Macaca mulatta: one gene and its partner. The protein of the gene in region 1 interacts with the protein of each later gene in a biochemical or structural test. Links are inferred from orthologs where the notes say so. Each region holds a gene or a part of one and is shown in the gene's direction. Other genes may lie near its edges. The genes, in order: OXSR1 and WNK4.

Region 1 (3,796 bases):
ACTGTGGAAAGATGGATACTGAGAAAAGAGAAAATTAAATGACTCCCTTAATAATTAAGTCTAGGTTGGAAGTTGATTTGAACTATGTACTTACACAGCTAAAAGCAAATTTCAGGTAGTGTATACATGCAGAAGTATAAGTTTGTATGTACCTGTGTAGAGAGAACGCAATGCAAGGGAAAATCATTTGGGGCAGGTTATATTTGAGATGGGTAGTTCTATTTTAAGCACAATTTCAGTAACATCCTCAAGTATATTATTCTTCATATAGAAGTAAACCCTCTCCATTGTTTATATAAAATAGATTTGAGTCCTAAGTGAGCAGGAATATCTGCCCTTAGATATAATGCTCTCATTTCTCTGTCTTTAAACTTTATAACCTCCAGGGATCCTGCTTTATCTCAGTACGTGGTGTGGTCATCACTGTAATTATACCTCACCAGTCATGTTTGAATTTCTGGAGTCATGTATTAACTCTGCTATCAGTATGGACCCAGTTCCTTTCCCTATCCTCTCTGCCTACCCAAATCCTGCTTATCTGTTAAGTCCTATATAAAAACTACTTCTAAAATTTTTCCTTATTATCCCCATCTCTCATATATTGTTTGAATTCCTATGGAATTTGAGGGAGCATCATGTATTTCATTTTATGAGTCTGCCAAGACTGATCACCAGTGGTAGGCAATGAATTGTGGGCATGTAGGAATGCGGATAAGGATGAAAAAGGCATCCTGTATAATTTTAATCACACCTCCCTGTGCTCATACAATTTTCCTCTTAGTTTTATATGTTCTTAGTGGGAATAAGGATGGGAGTGGGCATATAAGAATCTACTCAAAGGCATGAAATTTTTATATTGATCAGTAAGGGACATAGATTCAAAGGGTTGTAGGTCAACTAGATGGTCATTCTAAATTGGTTTTGCTCTGAGTTCTGCAGTGTGAACATATCTGAATACATCGTATGATCTATGGGAACAAAACAGTCTTTCTTGAGGCACAGGTTTCTTAATACATGTTGGCAGAATCTCTTTGCATAAATTTAGAAATTCTTATTTTATGCCTTCTGCTTTCTTTCATAGGAATTCCAAAAAAGAACTAAATGATATTCGATTTGAATTTACTCCTGGGAGAGGTGAGGCATCAAACGGATTGAAAACAAAATAGCTTCTAATTTGTGATTCAGTGAAATGTGTTGTGAAGTTTCTGTCCTTTGTGAAGTTTTGCTTTTAAAGGATAATAAAAAATTTTCCCGGTTTTGGGGAGCATATAAGTGAGATAAAAATGCAGTTCGTAGACTACTAAACACATTTAGAAAACCTTGTATAATAACACAAACAGTAATAAATATATAATAGCTCTTTACAGCTTAGTATAGGCCAGGCATTGTCTTAAGCGTTATCTTATTAAATTCTCACAGCAGCCTACTAAGGAAAAATTATTATCCCCATATTATCGATGATGAAATCAAGACTTAGAGGCAAAGTAACTTGTTCAAGGTCACACAGCTGGAAAGAGGTAGAGCTGGAATTCAAACCAGATCTGTCAGAATCCAGAGTTCTTGCTTTATACATGGTTGTCCTCCATGATGGTAAAGAAACAAGGTCTGCAGTCTCCTTTCTCCTCAGACGGAAGCTGAGGCTTGTCATGTACTGTTTCTGGCTGTCGAACTTCACCTTGAACAAGGCATGTTTTGTTTCTTGCCTTTATTACTCAGGATTCTAATTTGGGGAGTAGCCAGCAAGTATCTGTTCTGTGTATCATGCTTATTCTTCTTGCCGTCTCACTATTATCAGCAACTAACCACTAAAGAGAAAAGATGCGGGTGTACAGAGGTGTTACCAGTTTTACTTTTTAAAAACCAGGCAACATCACATTTTCAGGAATTAATTCAAATTGCTGGTTGCCTGTGTGAATGTGTGGACACTCTCCGCAGCAGTCCTCCTGTTCCCTCTGAGGTGCTCATTTTCAAGCCCTTGGGAACCAGTACTACTGAGTCGGTTGAAGATGAGGTTAATTGGGGATACTCTATCCTCATCTTTTTACTTTCTAGTTATACCCATTGCTCAGATTGTACCACCTGGGATAACTAGATAAGAAGAAAAGCCCACCAGAATAAAAAAGTAAATGAATTTAGTAAAAAACTTGGAGTATGATTCCCAAAGAGAAGAGAAAAATTTTTTGAGACAAAAATGGTTGCCTCAGTTTTTGAGAATAAATCATTCTGGTTTTTTAGCCCTAGAGATGCTCAGTATTCAACATTATGTCTCAGAGCTCTGAGAGCTCAGTCCAGGATTGTACTTGAAAATAGGAATTTCCTCTGCAACATCAGTGTCAGGTGCTTTTCTGACTGGGCCGGAACCCATCTACATTACACCATTTAGAAAGTTATCTTTACATTGAGCTGTATAAACCAGATATTTGCCACCTGGTTTATACAGATTCTGCCCTCTAGCTAGATCTGTGAGAATTCCTCACTTCAGATAATCCCAGTGGTAGGAACAGTCTTTGGGAGGAAGACCCTGCCTGCCTTCTTGGTTCTGTGGATTTAGCAGCCAACTTGGGCCTAGCATGGCACACTGACACCCACACGAGCTGTGAGCATTAACAGTGTCAAGCATGCACAAAAAACAGAGCACCGTCTTCTTTGTCCTTGCAGATACAGCGGAGGGTGTCTCTCAGGAACTCATTTCTGCTGGCCTGGTCGACGGAAGGGATTTAGTAATAGGTAACTCCATTGCGTTCTGCCCATGTGCTCCTGTGTCTCTGTATACTTAGTACATAGAAAAGCAGGTTTTTAATTTCACTGAGTAGGTCTGATGGTTCTTGGCTTTGCTGAAATTATAGGTAATGGGATAGTTCCTTACACACACACAAAATTTCACCTCTGAGTTTGTTTGTGACCTCCAATGATAGTAAGTGAAAGCACACCCAAGGTCTTTAGGAGACTAATAGAAATTATGGCAAAAGTAACAAGTTAAAGTAAGCTTGGTCATATCTGATCTGTTTTGGATACCTAATTTTTGTGGCCCAGGTTGAACAAAAGTCATTAGATATTTAGTCCTAGAAAAGCAGGAAGGAAGAGAGAAGGCCCAATGAGGCCACAGGTCCTTGTTACTGAAGGAAAAGACCATGTCCTTAGGCACAGTTTTCCATGAAAGACCAGATAGTAAATAGTTTAGGCCTTGCGGGCCATGTACAGTGTCTGTCGCTTTTAAACCACTCTTAGCTTGCCGGAGAACAAAAACAGACCACAGGCTGGTTTGTTGACTTCTGGCCTTGGGGTTTCTGATCCGTAAATCAGGAAATCATACCTCTTTTACCTGCATGTCTTTCCTACCTTAATACAACATTTTAAAGAAAGTTAATTTGACAGTGGCTCAAGGTGTACTACTTAGAAATCAGTTTAAAAGACACTTTCATTTGGGGAGTGATTATTTGATCTGTCTGCTTCCATTTTGATTGTACAGAGCATATTCTTAACTACCATTTAAGCTTTTAAAATACGGTTGAAAGTGGATTTATGTAACTTCTCATTCATTACCTTCTCTGTTTGTATGATTACAGTGGCAGCTAATTTGCAGAAAATTGTGGAAGAACCTCAGTCAAATCGATCTGTCACTTTCAAACTGGTACTCATCTCTTCTTCCTTATGAAAACGTCTTGCCTTTTACACACTGGCAGCTTCTCCAGACCAGCTTCTATGTGCCCTGAGTGATGAGGATATTAAAATGTGGTGGATTGTGTTCATTTAGCCTCCCCAGTGCCCTGGGCTGATGTTTCCCTTTGAGTGGCCA
Region 2 (3,819 bases), on another chromosome or scaffold:
CAGCCTCATTTTTAGCCTAAGTTCCAATCACACCAAATTCCTGGCACCTCGTCCCACCCTGCCTTGTCACTGGCTTTTTCCGTGCCTTTGAGCATAGTGTCCTGTCTGCCTGGGAAGTCTCCATCCCTTCCCCCTTTCACCTTTGAGCTCCTACTCATCATTCAAGATGCAACACAAAAGTATTTCCTCTCCGAAGCCCTCCCTCATGCTTGGGGCAGTTGGTCATCCCTTCCTGCGCTTCCACAGCACCTTGGCTGCGGCCCTATCAATTTACTTCCCAACCCGTTTGGTAACATCATGTCTATCCACCACACCCCCTGACTCAGTTTCTCCCTGTGGCCAGGCAGACATAGACTAGGAGAATGCTGGCAGAAGATGCGGAGGCGGCAGCAGGGTGCTGCAGGGGGGAACTTCCCAGTGAGGGGACTCCTCCCCATTGGCCGTGTCCCCCACCAGGACCCTTGCTATGTGCCCTCCCCCAGGTACCTGAGGCGGTTCCGGGAGATGAAGCCGCGAGTCCTTCAGCGCTGGAGCCGCCAAATCCTGCGGGGACTTCATTTCCTACACTCCCGGGTTCCTCCCATCCTGCACCGGGATCTCAAGTGCGACAATGTCTTTATCACGGGCCCTACTGGCTCCGTCAAAATCGGGGACCTGGGCCTGGCCACGCTCAAGCGCGCCTCCTTTGCCAAGAGTGTCATCGGTGCGTCTCTCCAGGAGGGTCCATGCCATTCCTTCCTCCCCCACCTCAGAAGAGAACCTAGGTACTCCCTCCCCTCAGCAAGGGCCTTCAAGGTCCACGAAACTACCAGATGACAGGGGAGCTGAGGAGACCTATGGCATCCCTCCTCAACCCCACTGTGGGCCGGGGTCACTTGCACTCGCAGGGTTGCCTGGGGCTACCTAGCCCAATGGGAAGGACAAGGCCAGAGTGCCCAGCAACCTGATCCTTGCTGTTGACCCTACAGGGACCCCGGAATTCATGGCCCCCGAGATGTACGAGGAAAAGTACGATGAGGCCGTGGACGTGTACGCGTTCGGCATGTGCATGCTGGAGATGGCCACCTCTGAGTACCCGTACTCCGAGTGCCAGAATGCCGCGCAAATCTACCGCAAGGTCACTTCGGTGAGAGGGATGGGACTGGCGGGAAAGGCAATTCCAGGGCCACTTCCCATTTTCCTGCCCCGGCCAGCCCGCAGTCAGTGCCCTTTGCCTGCACGAAAACAGGCTAGACAGAGTCGCCTTGGGGAACACAGGATATTGAATGCACATGCACCCCCTCCAGTACACGCTATTTAGAATAATATGTGTGGTGCTCCCAAGAGTTCACAAATGATTTCGCATCCCATCTCTCATCCAATCCTTCCAGCTGCCCTGTGAGGTGAGCGGGGCAAATGTTCCACCCTGCGATTTACAGATGAACAAACAGCGGGAGACTTGTTCAAGGTCACACTGTAAATACTTGGCGGGGAGTGAGATTTGAAATCACATCTTCCAGTGGCAGTCAGGCTTTTGCAACTGCACGCGTAGCTGCCTAAGGCGGGAGTGGAGTAAGGGGTGGGGGGTGTCAAGCCGAGAGCTGGGGATCAAAGGACCGGAGGTGTCATGCAACCCCTTCCCCCAGGGCAGAAAGCCGAACAGCTTCTACAAGGTGAAGATACCCGAGGTGAAGGAGATCATTGAAGGCTGCATCCGCACGGATAAGAACGAGAGGTGGGGGTGAAAGGGCAGAGCATGGGTAGAGTAGGGCCGCGGGCCGCGGCGGGCTAGGCTAACCCCTCGCGTCACCCTCAGGTTCACCATCCAGGACCTCCTGGCCCACGCCTTCTTCCGCGAGGAGCGCGGTGTGCATGTGGAACTAGCGGAGGAGGACGACGGCGAGAAGCCGGGCCTCAAGCTCTGGTTGCGCATGGAGGACGCGCGGCGTGGGGGGCGCCCACGGGACAACCAGGCTATCGAGTTCCTGTTCCAACTGGGCCGGGACGCGGCCGAGGAGGTGGCACAGGAGATGGTGAGCGGAGGACAGACTGTGCTGCCAGTGGACGTGTAAAGGGCATTGACCCGAGGAGATAGTGCAACAGGGATGGGGCGCAGGAGGCGTGGCAGCGATGGGGGCGGGGCACCTTACTCCTCTCAGAATCTCCTGCAGCGTCTCCCTACCTCTCCAGCCCTAACTTACCTGCACCCACACCCAGTTTTCCTTTACAGAGGGAGCCCTGGGTCCTCCAGCATCCCTGCTTTACCTCCAGCTGATCTGTTCTTCCTGGAATGCCCTTCTTGCCAATTTATCTTTTCCTTCTTTCCTGCCTCCCCCTTGTTCTTTTTCTTTTTCTTCCAATATGATCAGAACCATCGATTTCGGGAAGCCATCCCCTCTGGAGTCAAACTTAAATGCTTCTTTCCACTTCAGCAAGTTCTCTGTTACATCACTCCCCACTATCGGTCCTGTCTTAGACCTGAATAAGTTCCTATCTTTCTTCTCCACTAGACTATAAACTCCCTGAGGGCAGAGACTGTGTTTATTGATTCTTCTATCCCTGGCAGTGCTTGGCACATAGTAAGAGCTCATTAATAGCCCACATCTGTACATGGCTTAAAGCACTTTCACATGCATTTGATCTTTGCTACCCATCCTGCATAGGGGGCAGTTTTATCTCAACTTGTTGATAAGGAAATGGAAATTTAGAGAGGTTGAATACCTTGTCCACTGCCCCAAGTAGGTAAGTGGAAGAGCTGGATTGAAACTGAGGTGGTTCAGATTTTAAATCAGGTTACCCTTCCCCACCTCCTTTACTCACTCAGCAAAGCTTGTGGCTAAAAGGAAAGAGGAGGTGATGAATGGAAGCTGGTAGAAGGGGAGAGGCATAAGATGCAAGGGCAGACGCCTGGGGACTGGCTTAGGAAGTCCTGAAGGGAGTATGAGATTCTTTTTGGGGAATAATGGAGTCTCACTCTGTCATCCAGGCTGGAGTGCAGTGGCACTATCTCAGCTCATTGCAACCTTCGCCTCCTGGGTTCAAGCAGTTCTCCTGCCTTAGCCTCCCCAATAGCGGGGATTACAGGCACGAGCCACAATGCCCAGCTAATTTTTGTATTTTTTAGTAGAGACGGGGTTTCACCATGTTGGCCAGGCTGGTCTCGAACTCCTGACCTCAAGTGATCCACCTGTCTTGGCCTCCCAAATTGCTGGGATTACAGGTGTGAACCACCGTGCCCGGCTGAGTATGGGATTCTTAATACAGACATGACTGTTGCAAGGGTGGAGACCACCTACGGTGGGACAAGAACCTGAGAATGTGTTAGAAATTTAGAGCAGGTCTCCATATCATGGAGATCCAATCTTGATCCATTGCTGACAAGGGATTCTTGGCCTTGGTACTGTTGGCATCTTTGTTTTAGGGACTGCCCTGTACATTGTAGGATATTGAGAAGAACCCCTGGCTTCTACTCACTAGATTCAATAGCATCTACCTTTGAGTTGTGGCAACTAAAAATGTCTCTAGATATTGCCAAACATCTCTTCTTCCCATTGGAAACCACTGACTTACTGTATAACTATGAACTGGTCAATTCATTAATCTCTAAAATGGAATGGTAAGGTTTATCCCACAAGGTTGTTTGGAGGATCTAATGATGATAATGTAAGGAGCTGCCAGTTAGCAGACATAGTGGGTCATCAGTAAGTGTTGGTTTCCTTCCTCCCATATCCCGGAGTTCCCAAGAAGGTGTCCTGATGGATCTTTGAGAGGGGGTCCCAAGCTGTGTTCCTCATCCCCCACCCCAACTCCAGGTAGCTCTGGGCTTGGTCTGTGAAGCCG

What was found.
Region 2: the proteins of OXSR1 (region 1) and WNK4 are reported together in a solved structure, tested with the Homo sapiens proteins (2 studies listed by BioGRID and IntAct, with this or other methods). The link is inferred for Macaca mulatta from reciprocal best matches to the Homo sapiens genes OXSR1 and WNK4.

What each region holds. Positions count from the first base shown.
Region 1 is NC_133407.1:100,508,403-100,512,198, forward strand, and holds part of OXSR1 (serine/threonine-protein kinase OSR1), read left to right. Parts: intron 1-1,081; coding exon 1,082-1,134; intron 1,135-2,658; coding exon 2,659-2,727; intron 2,728-3,566; coding exon 3,567-3,631; intron 3,632-3,796. UniProt on the Homo sapiens protein: Effector serine/threonine-protein kinase component of the WNK-SPAK/OSR1 kinase cascade, which is involved in various processes, such as ion transport, response to hypertonic stress and blood pressure.
Region 2 is NC_133421.1:67,135,447-67,139,265, forward strand, and holds part of WNK4 (serine/threonine-protein kinase WNK4), read left to right. Parts: intron 1-482; coding exon 483-703; intron 704-968; coding exon 969-1,126; intron 1,127-1,625; coding exon 1,626-1,714; intron 1,715-1,795; coding exon 1,796-2,012; intron 2,013-3,791; coding exon 3,792-3,819. UniProt on the Homo sapiens protein: Serine/threonine-protein kinase component of the WNK4-SPAK/OSR1 kinase cascade, which acts as a key regulator of ion transport in the distal nephron and blood pressure.